Rhinolophus ferrumequinum: one gene and its partner. The protein of the gene in region 1 interacts with the protein of each later gene in a biochemical or structural test. Links are inferred from orthologs where the notes say so. Each region holds a gene or a part of one and is shown on either strand. Other genes may lie near its edges. The genes, in order: SLC9A1 and TESC.

Region 1 (8,020 bases):
CAGCCTGGGGTTGAGAGATGATTTGTAATCCTCCAGCCTCAGAGGAAGAAGTAGGAGGCTAAGTGATTTGCCTGAGGTGGTTAAAATACCAACAGAGGCAGTTGCCACTCATTGAGTGCTCCCTATGGCTACGAAGCCAGCTCTATGTGCATTAATTTACGTCATCGTCACATCAGCAGTACTATGGCTAGATTCTCTTATTTCCCCCATTTTATACATAAGGAAACTGAGGCTCAGAGAGGATAAGTGGCAGGGTGGTGGAACCCTTATCTAACTTCAATTCTACACCAGAAAGGTAAAGGAAAAAAATGGGCTTTCACTTTTGCCACCTTAACAGGGACCCTTGAGATCTTTCAGTCACCTTTCTCTCTACTTTCTTCCCCGAGATCGTCAGATGCTAGGACTCCTCTGTTTTCAGAGGCAGAAAAATGTCCTTCTGAGGCAGAGACACGGACTTTTGGAACTGCAAAGGCCTTCAGAGATCATATCCAGCCTCCTTTTACAACGGGGAAACTGAGGCCCAAGGCTGAGTTATTTGCCAGGGTTACCCAAGTCAGTGAAATGGCAGAAATGGCAGACATGGAAGGGGACACAAAGATCGACAGACAGGTGGAAATGAGTAACTGGCCCAAGGTCACAGACAGAGATGGGATGAGAAGCCAAGTTTCCTCACTTCTGGACTGATACCCTCACCATGGCACCATCTCTGTTCTCCAGCTGCCCAGGGTCCCTATTACAGGTTCTGGGAGGGACAAAGCCTAATCCCATTAGAACTGGAGACATCAGGCCTGCAGGGACAAACTCCTGATTGCCCAAAGTAGGATTTTTGTGGTCATGCTATTGCCCCCCCAGGAATCACTGAGACCTGCAGTGCGTGTACTGGCCCCCAGCGCTCTAACACAATGCCAGGTGTGGTTGGGAGGAGAGTGATTCAGAGACGATGCGTGTGAGGTCTCTTCCTGGTCTCACACAAGCAAATGACACATCATGGTCACTTCAGTTTCTTACCACAAATTAAGACACAGGTTTAATGACTCAATTGATATGGTCAAAGGTAGACATTCTTGCCAGTTTCACAGGTGGACGAGACCTGCAGAAAAAGGCCCCAGCTCGTTCAAGGTCATGTATTTGTCAGAATCGGTACAAATGGCTCCCCTTGCCCAGTCCTTGATGCCAGGAAGCTGGCTGCCATCAGGGTACAGATGCCAGTGGCCCAGGTCCATCTATAGGCCCTGCTACTGTCACAGCAGCCAAGCACCGCACCAGGAAGCCAGATTCTGGCTCTGTCAAAACAGGGTGCCTTCCTGCAGCATGTCCCAGAGCCTGCCTCCTACCAGCCTGGCATCACCAATCAGCTCCTTCAGGTCCTCGGGTAAGCTGCAAGGCTTTCTGCCAAGAGTCACAAACGCCCCAAACCCAGACCAGCAGAGTCCCTTGCCTTCTACAGATTAGCTGGGGCTAAAAAAGCAAAGGCAGCTTTCAAAGCACCCCCCCACCCCGGACACACTTCCAGGGACTTGTGAGTGATGCAGGTCCCCGAGAGATAAATCAATCACCCAGCAGAACAAAGTGCTCAGGCCGAGCAGGGAGACAACTTTTCAGAAGGGAACAACTTTTCTGTCTCCTTCTCCCAAAAAGATCGTTTCAAAGTCTCTTCAGACCAGAGCATCCCGAGCCCCTCCACCTGTCCCTCTTCCACTTGGTCGAGCAGCAGGCCAACACTACTGGCCAACCCAGGCAGTACCTTGAGACACAGCCGGGTGGCTGCTAACCTGGAGGTGAGCTGGGGCCAGACCAAGCTTCAACCTCCTCCACCCCCAAAACGGACTTCAGAAATTTCCAGGGCCCCCTGTCCCATAAACTGCATAAGGAATGGCATTCCTGGGCCGGAAACTGACTCAGGGGCTCCTGACCAGCCTGGGCAGGCAAAGCTGACAGATAATATTCCACGGATAAAGTAAGGTAAAAAGGTAGGGATCCCTTGTGTTCCAGCACACTGCTAGGTCTCCAGCACGCAGGTACCCTGCGATACTAAAACTCCTTAAACAGGCCAAGTAGAAATATACTCCATCCTGGAACACCCTCCCATGAAGCGTGTAATTGCACTGGTTGCTGTTGACGGAGCAGAATGTGCCACTTGCTGGAAGACACTCCTCTCTGCCTTCCACGCAGCTGGGAGCCTGGCTCCCCTCGGGGTCTGGCCCAACCAGAGGAGACCTGCCAAGCCTGGAAGCCTTGCTGAAAGGACCCAGTATCAGAAGCATCCCATGCTCCAATCCCCCTCTTTCCCATGCATGATGCTGGCTTCAACCTTGGGAGGCCTCAAACCACAGAGCTCAAGTCTGAGAAGGACCAAGATGGCAGAATGGAGGTTGCCTACATTATAGGAGTCCAGACCCTAACTCCTGGGCAGCCTCAAGTGGTAAGGATGGGGCAAGAAGCTCACCAGGCTGGTGGCAACAGAAGCAGTGAAGCAAACTGGACTTACCTATCTTCATGAGGCAGGCAAGCAGGATCCAGAGGGAGATCTCGAAGGGTCTGCGCACATGTGAGTAGTCGATGTCCAGGACTGGAAAGGCCTTTCGTTGTGTGCTGTGTTCAGTGCCCGAATGGTTAACAGGGTGGCTCTGGGGGGTGGTCTCCGGTGGGGCGGTGGTGACATCCCCAATTGAGCGTTCCCGTGGTGGCTCTGAGCCTCGGATGGTGCTGGCAGTAGGACTGAGCTGGAGGCCATGGCTCCTGAGAACAGGTAGCAGCCCCACCAAGGCTACCATCACCAGCAACGAAGGGAAGATTCGAGGTGGAGAGAGGCCACAGATGCCAGACCACAGAAGCATCCTGCCGCTCCCTTGGCCGAGGAGGCCTGGACTCTTAGCAAAGTGAGAGTCAGACCTGGGACATAGGCAGCAAGGGGTCAGCAGGTGGGAAGAGAGCCTGGAGTAGTCTCTAGGAAAAGTTCATGTTTTAGAGAGGTCGTTTTGCGGAAGCAGTCCTCTGGGGGTGGACAGAATCTGGGTTCTCAATCTAGAACTCCAAACTGGGGAAGAGGCAGAAGGACCCAGGAAGGACCACAGGAGACCTAAAGGTCTGGAACTCCCGGCCAGGGAAAGGAGAGAGAGGAAGGGACAGGACAAGTTGGACCCCAGGCAAGGAAAAGGAAGAGGGGAGGCTGGGACCCTCGGCTGAGCAAAGTGACTAAGGAGAGAGAGGGGAATAGACTACGGGCAGGGGCAGGAAGCCGGAGCTCAAGGAAGGGGACAGAAGGCGGTGGGACCCAGTCCAGGCAAAGAAGAGAGGGGTCTGGGAGCCCAAGCTGCGAGGAAGGAGTGCAGCCGGAAAGCGGTCGGGAGCTTCCCCACCCAGAGAAGCGTCGGGGTGCAGGCGCACCTGGCTGAGATTCCGGGGAAATGGAGGGAGGAGGAAGGCGGAGGCAGGCGGCCTAGCGGAGAACGCTTCGGCGAGGGCTGGGAGCGGCTCGCGGTGGGCCAGCGGCTGCACGCCCCTCCTTGCGGCCCCGGCCCAGCTTCAGGTTCTCCGCGTCTACTCCCAGTCCTACTCCCAACGCCGGGCTCAGCGCCGGCGGCGGTGGACTGATGCCTGGCTGAGCCGGTCGCTGCCATTTATAGGTACCAACGAGCAGCCAGCGCAGCGGGCTAGAAGGAACGTCGGCGCCCACGCAGCGCAGCGACCCCTTGCCGCCGAGGGAAGGAAGTAGCCTGTAGCAAGAGAAAGGACAGAGATGGGGGCGGAAAAAAAGTCCTGAATCCACAGAGATTCTAACACGGGTAAAACGCTTTACTATTTACAAAGCGCTATCACATCCACACCCGCAGTCTCATGAAGGCTTCCCAATAGTCTTGCGAAGGATGTATTAGTATTTTATGTATTTAGTTACCCTGTGACCTTGAGCAAGTTACTCCCTGTTCCACAGCTTTCTCATCTATAAAATGGAAATGGTAGCAGTACCTGTATCAGAGGGATACTGAAATGACTCAATGAGATAATCTGTGTTAAGTGTTTAGAACGGAGCCCAGCACATAGAACTATTATTATAGTTCCAGTTTTGCAGATGAGGAAATGAGTGGAGAGAGTTGCTTAGCTAATATGTAAACTAGTTTGCCAGGGCTGCTGTAGCAAAGTACCACAAACTGGGTGGCTTAAAAAAAACAGAAATTTATTGTCTCATATTCTGGAGGCTAGAGGTCTAAAATCAAGGTTTTCTGAGGGCTGTGAGGGAACATCTATCTGCTCCATGCTTCTCTCCTAGCTTCTGGTGGTTTGCGGACAATCTTTGGTGTTTCTTAACTGTTGGCAGCATAACTCCAATCTTCACATGGTGATCTCCCTGTGCCTCTGTCTCTGGGTCCAAAATTCCCCTGGATTAGGGGTCCACCGATTAGGGGTCCACCCTAATGACCTCATCTTAAATTGATCATCTTCAATAATACTATTTCCATAACACTATTTCCATTTCCAAAGAAGGCCACATTCATAGGTACTGGGGGTTAGAACTTTAATATTCTTATTTAATATATATATATATATATAATTTTTTATTGGGGAATAAAAATAATTTGTGTATTGGGGAACAGTGTGTTTCTCCAGTGCCCATCAACTCCAAGTCGTTGTCCCTCAATCTAGTTGTGGAGGGCGCAGCTCACTGGCCCATATGGGACTCAAACCAGCGATCCTGTTGTTCAGAGCTTGTGCTCTAACCAGCTGAGCCATCCAGCCGCCAAGAACTTCAATATCTTTTAGGAAGACACAATTCAACCCACAGCAGTAGTGGAATTGAGATTTGAACGTATAGTGTTGGTTGGAATTGGTAAGATTCAAGAGGTCATGGCTGTACACTGCAATCATTGGAAAGCTTTTAACATTTTTTTAAATTAGTTTCAGGTGCACAAAACAATGTAATAGACATTTATCATTTCTATCCCTCACACAGTGACAACCCCTTCCCCCATCCACTACCCCTCTGACATCACACACAGCCATTACATTTCCACTGTCTCTATTCCTAATGCTGTACTCCACTTCTTGTAACTATATATATGGAAAGCTTTTAAAAACTACGTTGCCTGGGACCTATCTTCAGAGATTTGGATTCAGCTGCTCCAGGGAAGTGCCCAAACACGATGGGTATTTTTTCAGAAGCTCGCCCAGGTGATTCTAATGTACACTCAGGGTTGACAACTGTGGAAAATACTGAAATGCCATCCCTATTTTGCAAAAGAGCAAATCAAGGTCAAGAAAGTCAAAGTGACTAGCTTGGGATCACAAAATGATTTTAAAGGGGTTCATTTCAGTTTAGCAAATATTTACTGGGCCTTTTGACAAGGCTTTGGCTGGACTCTGGCAACACAGAGATAAGACATGGGCAGGAAGGAAGTGGAAGTGATTTTGGGAGGGGTCACGAAGTGGGCACAACTAAGGCTTCTCGGGTGCTGATAATATTCTATTTCTTTACTGGGTGGTATTAACAAAGGTTACGCAGAGGTACTTGTTTTGTACACTCATGATTTGTGTACTTTTCTTAAGATATGCTATCCTTTCATTAAAAGTTATTTTAAAATAATAAAGTGATGTGATAGTGACTGAAGGAGCTGACATTAAACTCAATTCTCTGCACCTCACATTCTCCTGGCACAGGCCCGGCCACTCGGGAGATGACAGAAATGCCTAGAAGAGCCGTCAGAGAAGGCCAAGGGCCTTGTGTCACCTGGGAGCAGGTGAAAGGATAACATCAGCTATACTGGAAATAACCAAAGAGAGGGGCAGCATGTAGGGCAAGGATGAGAATAATGACAATAATACTTTACAATGGTTCAGTCCTTTATAGTTCACAACCAAATGCTCCAGGTTTATCAGTGATCCAAGTGCTGGTGCATAGTGAGGGCTCAATAGATAGTAGCTATTATTCATTTTCATTTTACGATGGAAAAGCTAGGACTCAGAGACATGAAGCCATTTGGCCAGGGTCACACAGCTGTTAGGTAGCAGATCCAGAATGTAAGTCAACTTTCGAATGTCTGAATCCAGAGTTCTTTCAAAACACCACAGGTTCAGTTTAGAAAAAAGAAGAGAGGGAAGGAATGGAGCTAGTGGAGGGACTTTCCACAGATGACATTGGGGCCAGAACCCTGAGATCTATAGTCCTTTCCGGTCTCAAGGGCAGCATTCACAGCTGTGCTCCCATCCTCCCTACTCTCCAGCTCTACCTCACTCATCCTCAGTGAGTGCTTGGGAGGTAGCAGATCCTACAAGAGGCAGCCCTGAGATCCTCCACCGCCTGGAGAAGGTTATAGCATCATGACAGAACTGGGAAAGAGCCCTTGAGAAAAACTACCTGGGACAGCCCACGGCCAAGGCCCAGCCGAGGCCAGGCAGTATAGCATAAGAATTAAGTACGTGCACTGTCTAATGTGGATAGCCAGATTTTCTAAGTTCAAATCCCACAACCACCACTCACTAGTTGTAAGACCTTAGTTAAATCCATTAATCTCCCTGTTCCACAGTTTCTCCCTCCATAATGTGGGGACCATAATAGTGGCAATCTCATGAATATATTATGAATTATATATTATGAATATAATATGAATATATTAACCAGTGCACTTAGAGCGGCACCTAGCAAGTACCACGTATATTTACCTGATTATCTTTATTTACATGTACTGAGGGCCTCCAAAGTAGACTTTTGGTGGTAGGACCACCTGAAGTTACATATTCAGTCACAGAGACACATGGACAGGATAGAAAGAAGATCCTCACATCTGTGAAATTGGTCCCATGATCAGACCACATCACCTGTAGCATGCTATGAATTTAATAATTTTCGATAAATTACATCATAGTGTATTGTGCATACTAAAAGCATGATTTTGTTATAGGTAATCAGTTAACATGTACCGCAATGTCTGTACCTTTGTTTGAGCAAGTCCTCATTTTGTAACCATTCCAGGCCCACACTGCTCTTGACTCAGGGAGGCCATGTCTCTGCAGGTCCTTCCCCCTGCAGATCTAGAAGAGTCTCAGGATCCTGGGCCCCAAATGGCATCTGGTCCTGCATAGGCCATATCTGTTTCCCTATCCCCTCACTGAATTCTTTCACTAAAAGTGATGGGAATTTTATGAACTTGCTGTCGCTGTGACATCAACAGCTACGTGGCAAATAACGTGTGGTACTAGGAAAGGATCCACCGGGCCACTTACTAGTTGTACATGACGGGCAAGTCACATTTGGTTTCTGTCATTCAGTTTTTCATGTGTATGAAAGGTGGGTGGGGTCGTAATTCCTGACTTGTAAGGTTATTACGAGGATTAAAGGGCTGGTGCTTGTCAAGCTCAGTTTACAGCCCTGCAAGTCTCTCTTCTTTCGGTCTCCCCGTCACTCACTCCACCCCAATCACCCTGCTTCCTTGCTATTTCTCAAACACTGCCAGCCCCATTTCTGCCTCAGGGCCTTAGCACTTGCTGTTCCTTTTGCCTGGAACATTCTTCCCCAGATCCACTTGGCTCACTCCCTCGTATCCCTCAAGCCTTTCCACAAATCTCCCTTCTCGGTGTGGCTTACTTGCTACATGATAACTCTAGTCAATAGTGATGCTTCCCCTGGGAAGCCCAGCCGGCACCATTACCACCCGGTCCCCAGCCGTTATATGGCTTCTTTTTTCTTTGTTCCATAACTCTTTTCACCTTCTCACATATGACATAATATTAACCTGTTTCTATATTTTATTGTTTACGGCCATTTCCCCTCATAGGATGTGAACTCCAAGAGGACAGGAGAGCCCTCATGAATGAGTGAATGAATGAATGAATGACAGGATATAGTATTTGCACATAAGAAAACCAAGGCTCCAAAAGGAGAGTCGCTTGTGGACACAGAGCTGGGGCGCCAGGTGTGGATCCAAGTCTGTCTGACTCTGAAGTCCAAGCTTTTCCCACTTCTTTAGGCTAAGAGCCACCATGAAAAAACATGTACACCCTGGGCAACTAGAAGAGAGTTGGGAGGATG
Region 2 (8,174 bases), on another chromosome or scaffold:
GCAGAGCTAAGACGAAATGTTTGCAACCTTCACCCGGGTGGTGGTTGCAGAGGCATTCCCGTATATAAACACTGAATTGTACGTGGTAAAATGAAGAGAGCGCTTCGGGCAGAGGGTACGGTTTGTGCAAAGGCCTGCAGGTGAGAAAAATATATGGGCAAGCTTTTCCTACCCCTTCTGGGTTCCTAGAAATCTGACAGGCAACTAAACCCAGTGAGAGCACAGTGGTGTCAGGACAGCTGCCTTAGGGATCCTGTGATTCCCCAAACCTCTACTTATAAGCTGTGGGACTGCAGGCAAGTTGCTTTACGCCTCTGAGCCTCAGTTTCCTTATCTGTAAAACAACCATATGGCCACTTTCCCTGGAGGGTTATCGTGAAGATTCCACCATAGTGCGTGCAAAGTGCTCGGCATTTTCATCCGATGTCGACCACACCATCCTATGCTCACCCTTCTCATTTTTTCCAGAGGGGGAAAGGGACCAGGCTGATTTCTTCAAATCCGGGGCCATCCTGGTGCTCAGAGAGGCTGGGGGAGCCTAGCAACCTAGGATCCAGATGGGGACACTGAAGCTCATAGAGGTAAAATGACGTGCTTAAGGTCATGCAGCTAGGAAGAACTGAGACCAAGATTTAACTCTCAGCTGTGGCTCAGAGTGACCAGGACATACAAATGTGTTTAAAGCATAGCTAATAAAACTAAACACTTGCCCAAAGCCACATACCTAGAAAGACCCCTTAAATCAGGCTCCTGCCAAAACCTGAGTCCCAATTATGGCTGTGCCCTCATCTCATACGATTCTTGTTTCTTGTTCTCAACTTCTTCCTGCCACAGGACCTTTGCATTTACTGTTCCCTCTGCCCAAAATGGACCTTCCACTGACCTTCATGTGGCTGGCGCTTCCTTATTTGGGTTTCTGTCCCATTATCACCTCCTCAGAGAGGCCCTCCTGGCCTACCCTAAAGAAATGTTTCCCTGCCCCCCCCTCCACCCCTCCAGACCTCATGTCCCTATTTTGTTCACAGAGTTCAATACAAATGGGTTGATTTGATTATATGTGTGTCCCCCTCAGGAACACCAGTCTCTGGGTCCCCTCTAAATCCCCAGTGCCTGGTAGATAAATACTGGCTGAACAGACAAAAGCGCCCAAACTATGCCTGCCCCTGTCAGAGGACTAGAGGGAACTTCCCGCGTGCTTACAGTATGGAGAACGGAAGGGGTTCATCTTCCCCTCAGACCTCAGAACCCCTTCTGTCTCCCTTCCTCCTTTGGGAAGTGAAATTTGAGTTCTGGCCAGCAAGAAAAGATACCACGTCAGCCACATCTAGGAAAGCTTCAGAACAGGAACACAGCAGGTCACCTCCAGTCAGGACCGAACCCAGGAAACTGACAAGATTCCCAGCATGCTCTGTGGCCCCATCACCTGTCAAACCCACCAGCAGGAATTCCCCCAGACTGCCTGCCTGCTCTTGGGGCAGCCTGAGAGATGGGGGCCAGTGGCCAACCCACCCTTGGCGCGGGGGGGGGGAGGGGAGATCCCAGCTATAGAGAACCTCCAACCTGTCCAGATACAAGGCAGCGAGAGGCAAAGAGAGGGCACTCAAGAAATAATAAAAACGGGAGGAAACCCACGAAAGTCAGGGCAAGAAGAATCCTACCTCCTCTCTCACATTAGCCTGGGGTTTGAACTGGACTTTATAAAACTTTTCGAAGAAGTAAAATATTCACACATGATTCAAAATGAAAATATAACTAAGTTTACAGTGAAAAGTTCATTTCCCCTTCACCCCTTCCACCAAATCCCTGAGGATTCATTATTTTTACTGCGTTGTGGGTCCTTCCAGAGTCACTGATGCAAATAAAGCAATTACAAATATATGTTCTTATTCCCCCTTTTTTAAACAAAAATGTTTCACGTTATATATAATGTACCACACCCTTTCCCACTCCATTTACAGATAATTCTATATTTGTACACAGGAAGACATACATATATGTATACGTATACACACACACACACACACACACACACACTCTCTCCAGTTGTTAAGAGAGCTTTCTGTAATTTCCACCCAAGTCTCCTGGCAAGGGGTGTTCAGATTGGGGGTCAGGAGGAGTCGTTTTTCAGCCCACGCACAAACGGCTGGTTTCTTACCAGGACCCACTACAGAGGCTGATTGTCTGCACCAAGCTCAAAGCAGGCGTCAGGAGCCAGAGCCTTCTTAGAAGTGACATCTGCAGCTGCCGTTTTTTGAACATCTACCAGGTACTAGCAGAACTCCCATTCCAAAGAGAAGGAAACCGAGACTTAGAGACGTAAAGTGACTAGTCCAAGGTCACACAGCCAGGAAGGAAGTGGTGCTCACACCCTGTCTGTCCATCTCCAAAGCCAACATCCCCTCACCTGGCCTCCCTCGGTCTTCAGCCCACACTCCTCTCCTCACAGCTGGTGGCAGAGCCCGGCTGCGGAGGTCAGGGCCCAGGGTCAAGTTCCCTGACTGGCTGGACTTGGGCTGACAGGCGCTTCCGCCAGACAAGTGCCTGCGGTCAGCTCTGCCTGGCGGTACCGCCTCCCCACCTCCCCCGTGCGCCCCGCCTCTGCGGGTCCAGGGAGTCCCGGCGAGCTCGAGGAAGGTCGTCCGGCTCCTGCAAAGTGCTCTGCGGACGCTGCCTCGCTTAGACCTCCCAGCTACCCAAGGAGGTGGATCCACCTCAACCCATTTTACAGATGGGAGAACGAAGCCAGAGCCCGGCTCCCACCCATCTCCCGCCGACTTCAAAACTTTCCGCCCCCTGCGCATCGTGAATCCAAACGGCTTTCTGATGCGGGGCGCGCACCAGCTGGGTGTCCGCGGCACTGGCTCTCCCAGGCGCTGACTCTCCCAGTCCCAGCGCGGGCCCTGGGGGAGCTCGGGCCCTGCTTGTTCCCGGGTCTGTAGTCCTCAGGTCTGGGAGTTCCCTGCCAATTCTAAGAGTGCCAAGGCTGAGCAGCCGCGGCACTCCTCGCCACAGCCTGAAAAGTGGTCGACAGCCACCCATTTGAAGGACGGGGAGACTGAGGCGCAGAGAGGGCCAGCTACTAGCCCAAGGTCACACAGCACGGCGGAGCGAAGCCGGGCGGGCGGCGGTGGGTTGGGAGCCCCCACGCCAGCCGGCGAGCGGTACCCATCCGTGTCCCCGCGTCCGTCCCCCGAGGAATACTCACAGCCGGTCTTGCCCATAAGCTCTCGCACCTCCTCGGACGCGGAGTGGGCAGCGCCCATGGTGCCCGCGGCGGGGACTCCCGGGGGCGCGTCCCTCGCAGGCCCTGGGCTGGCGTCGGCTGCGTAGCGGCCGGTTCTGCCTCGGGTCCAACGCGAGTGGGACGCCGGGGACAGGTTTGAGTCGCAGATTCCGCGTGGGGCCGAAGCACGGCCTCTTATAGCACCGGAGGGCGGCGCGCCGCGGTCCTAGCGCGCACCGGCTTCCAGCACTGCGGGGAGTGGGGAGCGCCCCGCCCCGGGGCCGGAAACGGCGGAGTAGCGGGGGGAGGGGGGGGTAGGAGGGGGCCCAAGAAACCCACCTCCCAGGGTCCTCAGCAGCGGACGTGCACGTCGCGCCTCGCCCCCTCCGCACCCTGTCGGCTCTGGAAAGACGCAGGTGTGAGCAGAGTTGGGGTGTGAACAGAGGAGGGATCAGACCTCAGGGAGGTTTCCTTGCCCACGCCACCCGGGGTTCCATCACATATCCTCCCAGATCTCAGGAGGGACATTCCCCTGCGATCATGAAGGAGGACAGCGAGCAATAACTAGCTCTATGGTGAATAAAGGTCATGTAGCAGCAATCCACCTTGAAGGCGCACCAGGCGCTTTGTTTGGCCTATTGCAGGGAACCCCCTCACCCCACCTCCCCCTCCCAGCACCCTGGTGAGGTGGACACACCCACGTGCTGACCCGCCCATCTGAGCCTCAGCATTGGAGCTTGGGCGCTGGGGGGAGTTCTCAAACTTGAGAAGAGAACTCCACCACCCACGGATTCTGACTCAGGCAGGGCCCAGGAAGCTGCATTTCAGGCAAACTGTCAGATGTCATGTTGGTGGTCCCCAAGTCAGTGAGAGAAGTTCTGTGTTAACGTGACTTAAGGGGATAGGGTTCTGTAGCCAGGCTGGGTGCCAGGGCCACTCCTGCCACCTGTCTTACCAGGATTCCTTCTCTTGCAAATGGGGATAACATAGTTAATGAGATGTCCCTCAGAAGGGCATGGCAGGGGACACAGCACAAGGTGGTCTCTGTGGAATCATGTCCACTTTGCAAGTGAGGCACTGGTTTTCAGAGAGGTCACACATTGAGAGCAGAAACTCAAAAGTCAAGACTTTCCAGTTCTCAAGGCTGGGTCATCGTGCTCCGTGGTGCTTGGTGACACAGCCATCAATGATTCACATGTATTCAGTGTCTGTGCTGGGCATGAGCCTCGGCACAGGGCTGGGGGGGATTGAGGGTCCTTCAGTGCTCACAGAGACTTGAGTGGGACCCCTACATCAGCTGCACAGGGCGCTGGGGAGGGGGTACCATAGTGCAGACCACAGACCTAAACCAAAGGTCACAGCCCTTCCCAGGGCAAGGGTGCCTTTTGGAGCCACCAGGAGTCTCCTGAAACCTGCCAGGCCAGCAGAATCAGCCCCCTTCTGGTTGAAAATCCAGCTGCCCATTACACTCTGGTGGGCACTCAGAGAGCTGGGGCCGTGCCTGGAATCTGCATTTTAAAAGCACCCTTGGGTGCTGCTAAGACCTACCTGGGGAAATGTTGTCTGTCAGCACCAGCTGGTCTGAGTGAACTGGAAAGCCGACCTAGAGACTGCACTTTGGGTCAGAAGGTATCTAGAAACCCAGACTGGCCTTGGGGTCAGAAAGGGGATCCCCAGACCCCTGGGGAATTACCCACAACTGCTGGGAACACTTTTATTCTGACTTAAAATAGCGGTTCCTGGAATTTTATTAAATAATTCAAGGATTCAATGATGGTGCTTTCTGCTGGGGAGACAGAAAATGGAGTTCTCGCGACTGCATCTCCTCCCCTTGGCATGGGTGGGGATAAAGGCCTTGGGAAGGTGCTCCGGGACAGTGAGGGGTCACATGGCTTTGCTCCGCCCTTCAGGTGACCACAGAGAGGCCCCCTAGGGTATGGGGTGAGGGCATCCCACCTTTACTCCATCACCTGCTATGCAGTCAACTTTATCTCGAGCCCCACTGGCCACTGTCATCTCCCAGACAAGCTGTTCCTTCTGCCTGGGGCTCCCTTCACCTCCCTCTTCCTATGGCCTGGGCTTTCTCTTCAGATCTCAATGTTAATTGCACCTCCCAGAGGCCATCCCAGGGTCCCCATCGTTCTCCTGGGTCTGCTGCCAAACAAGCCCCCTTCGCCAGTCAGCCAGTCAGCTGGGAGCTGGAAGAGAGGAAGGCGCCGGTTGTGATAAGCTAACCCAGGGAGATTTACTCCTGATGGCAGGGCTTGGAGAAACAATCTGGAGCTCCTTGTGGCAGCAGGAAGGTGGAGACCCCAAGGCACAATTTGTGGGTTCATTCGTTCATTTATTTATTCCCTGCACATTTATGGAAAGCCTGCTGTGTTCAGGGTTCTGGCTGGGTCCTGGAGCCACATCCAGCAATAACCAGGAGCCACACTTTCACTCCTAAGGAACTCCTGGAGGAGTGGGGAGACCCACAAACAGGAGGTGACCATGCAGGGGGGTAAACAGGGCCACAGAGATCTGGAATGTTCAAGCCAGAATGGCCCCTGGGGACTCTATTATCCCTTAAGCTGAATTTTGGGGAGTCCATGATTGTCCCCACCTGTGGTCCCAAAGGGACAGGCCAAAGGCAAATACTGGGTAGACAGATGTAACCATGAATTTTGGGGGCCCTGCAGTGGCACCCACCCTCTGCCTGGGCTTTGCCCCCCTTCTCTGGCAATGATGCACACACACACGCGGTAGGGCTCTCTCCACACAAAGCCTGTTGCTGCCTGTTCTAGGACGTCACGGGTTTAATTCAATCCTACCCATAGCGCTGTTGGCGTCACCAAGGAAGCCTGGAGCTTTGCATGGGGTCTGACTGGGCTGATTGGATCTGTTGTCTGGAGCTCTGGACGAGGGGCACCCTGTGTGGTGTCTTTATCCTCCCAGCACACAGCACACAGCGTGACTTTCTGAGGGTAGGGAACACTTTAGTCACCAGGCAACTGCGTCTCTTCTCCCAGAAGAGCTGATTAAAAACAGCAGCCACGTTGAGAATGGCTGGTACCTGTGAGGCCACGACGGGCAGCTGAGCCCAGAGACGGCGAGGATGGTCTTCCTTGGTCTCTCCCACATTCGTGTCAGGGAAGGCTACGAAACCACACTTGGGCAGGTGACTTCACCTGCCTGGGCCTCAGTTTCCCCATCTGTAGAAAGGCAATAATAATGGTGGTTGTGAGGGTTAAATGTGGATTCATAAAGGTAAAGTGCTTAACACAATGCCTGACATGGTGAGTGCTCCCCATGGAGTGCTGATAAACAGGCTCTGGAAAAGGGGAGGGAAGGCCTGATGTGTAGCATTGGCCGATTCCTCTGGCATAAATACGCCCACTGTGGTCAGTTTTAAGCTACCAACAATTTAACAACTGGGGCTTGCAAAATTCCTGAATGTTTAACACTTTGCTCTTACAAGCAGGTCCGAGACAACTGCCGTTGACTGTTGTCATAATTCATACGTTCACTTGTTCATTCATTCATTCATTTACTCACTCACTACTGGGTGCCAGGAATTTGGACACCACAGTGAAGGAGTCAGTCCCTGATGTCAGGGATCCCAGAGTCTGGAAGGAAAGAGACATGAACAGACCATCACTAAAGGGCCCACCAATGGGTCCTGGCTGCTGCGGGAGCCTGGAGGAGAGGTACCCAACACATGCCCATTTTATAGCTGGGAAGACCAAGGTGTTTCAGAACGGGTCGTAAACCAGAATCAGAGTGCAGATGTGAAGCTGGGTAAATGGCAGTTCCTAGTATTCACCTGGGTCACTCCCCTGTCCCTCTAATCACCGAGCTTGGGAGTACTCCTGAGGCTTGGCAACGTTCTGGGAGCAACAAGACTCCTTTAATCTTTAGGTCACTGACTCCAAGAAATTTATGGGGACTCCAAGTGCCATCTTGCTTAGCCTCTGACTTAAAGAAGACCATAACTAAACCACTTCAAACAAGTGAGGATTAGCAATGCTCTCCTAAAACATGTCCAGGGAGGGAAACCCGGCGAGTGCTCTATGCCATGTCTCACACGGACAGTTTTTCTCTTCAGCTCATTCAGGCTCCTGATGCTGGTCTTGTATGTCTCAGTGTAAACGGAATCAGAGAAGAACCATCCCCCATTTGTGTTTGGAATTAAAGTTATCTTTTAAAGAATCCTTTCTCACCCAAGTCACCCTAGTCGTTCCAGCTAACTTTGGGTTGTTGCGGGAGATAGATTCATCTGTATAATGGGTCCACAATCGCATCTTTATAGAGAAGATTCAGCAAGAATGTAATGGCTGGCATAGAGCAGACCCTCCCTCCACAGCGGCTCATTCCCTCCCTGGGAGGATGGGATCCAGGACTTTACAGCCAGCCCCTCTCTCCTCCTTCTGCGAGCTCACTCTTCCCCACAATACCTGGTGAGACAAATAAGCAGAATTCACACTTGAATCTCGGCCCAGCCCCCACTTCTTAGGAAATCATTTTTGGTCTTGGGAGAGTGATCCCTGCAAGGGGATTTTAAAATAATTGTGCCCCCTCCCATCACAGCCACCAGCATCTACATCGCAACCCAGACCACAGAGGGAGAGGCAGGGCTTTGGGCGGGAGGGCTGACCGCCTAAAAATAGGAGACGGGGGGCTCTTTGGGGAGGGAAGCTTGAGCATGTTTTCTATTATTTATATAAATACTGACCTCTTACTGGAACTTGCAGGGGGCAGATGGAAGTTTGTCCCTGGATGGGCTTCAAACTTTGCCTTGTTGTCCGAGAAACAAACTCAACAGAGAAGCAGAAAGCAGTGGCAGGAGCCCAAAATCTATTTTAACTTCACCATCGCTTTACATGGAGCGGTGGGGCAGGCTTTGCAGAGGGCTCAGGGCTGTGGAAGGAGACAGTGATAATCAGTATTCAGAAGGGTCTGCTAGAACCTC

The links.
Region 2: the proteins of SLC9A1 (region 1) and TESC form a complex in vitro, tested with the Homo sapiens proteins (4 studies listed by BioGRID and IntAct, with this or other methods). The link is inferred for Rhinolophus ferrumequinum from reciprocal best matches to the Homo sapiens genes SLC9A1 and TESC.

The regions. Positions count from the first base shown.
Region 1 is NC_046292.1:18,598,964-18,606,983, forward strand, and holds the start of SLC9A1 (sodium/hydrogen exchanger 1), read right to left. Parts: upstream 3,644-8,020; 5' UTR 2,838-3,643; coding exon 2,489-2,837; intron 1-2,488. UniProt on the Homo sapiens protein: Electroneutral Na(+) /H(+) antiporter that extrudes Na(+) in exchange for external protons driven by the inward sodium ion chemical gradient, protecting cells from acidification that occurs from metabolism.
Region 2 is NC_046308.1:10,827,041-10,835,214, forward strand, and holds the start of TESC (calcineurin B homologous protein 3), read right to left. Parts: upstream 3,459-8,174; 5' UTR 3,264-3,458; coding exon 3,206-3,263; intron 1-3,205. UniProt on the Homo sapiens protein: Functions as an integral cofactor in cell pH regulation by controlling plasma membrane-type Na(+)/H(+) exchange activity. Promotes the maturation, transport, cell surface stability and exchange activity of SLC9A1/NHE1 at the plasma membrane.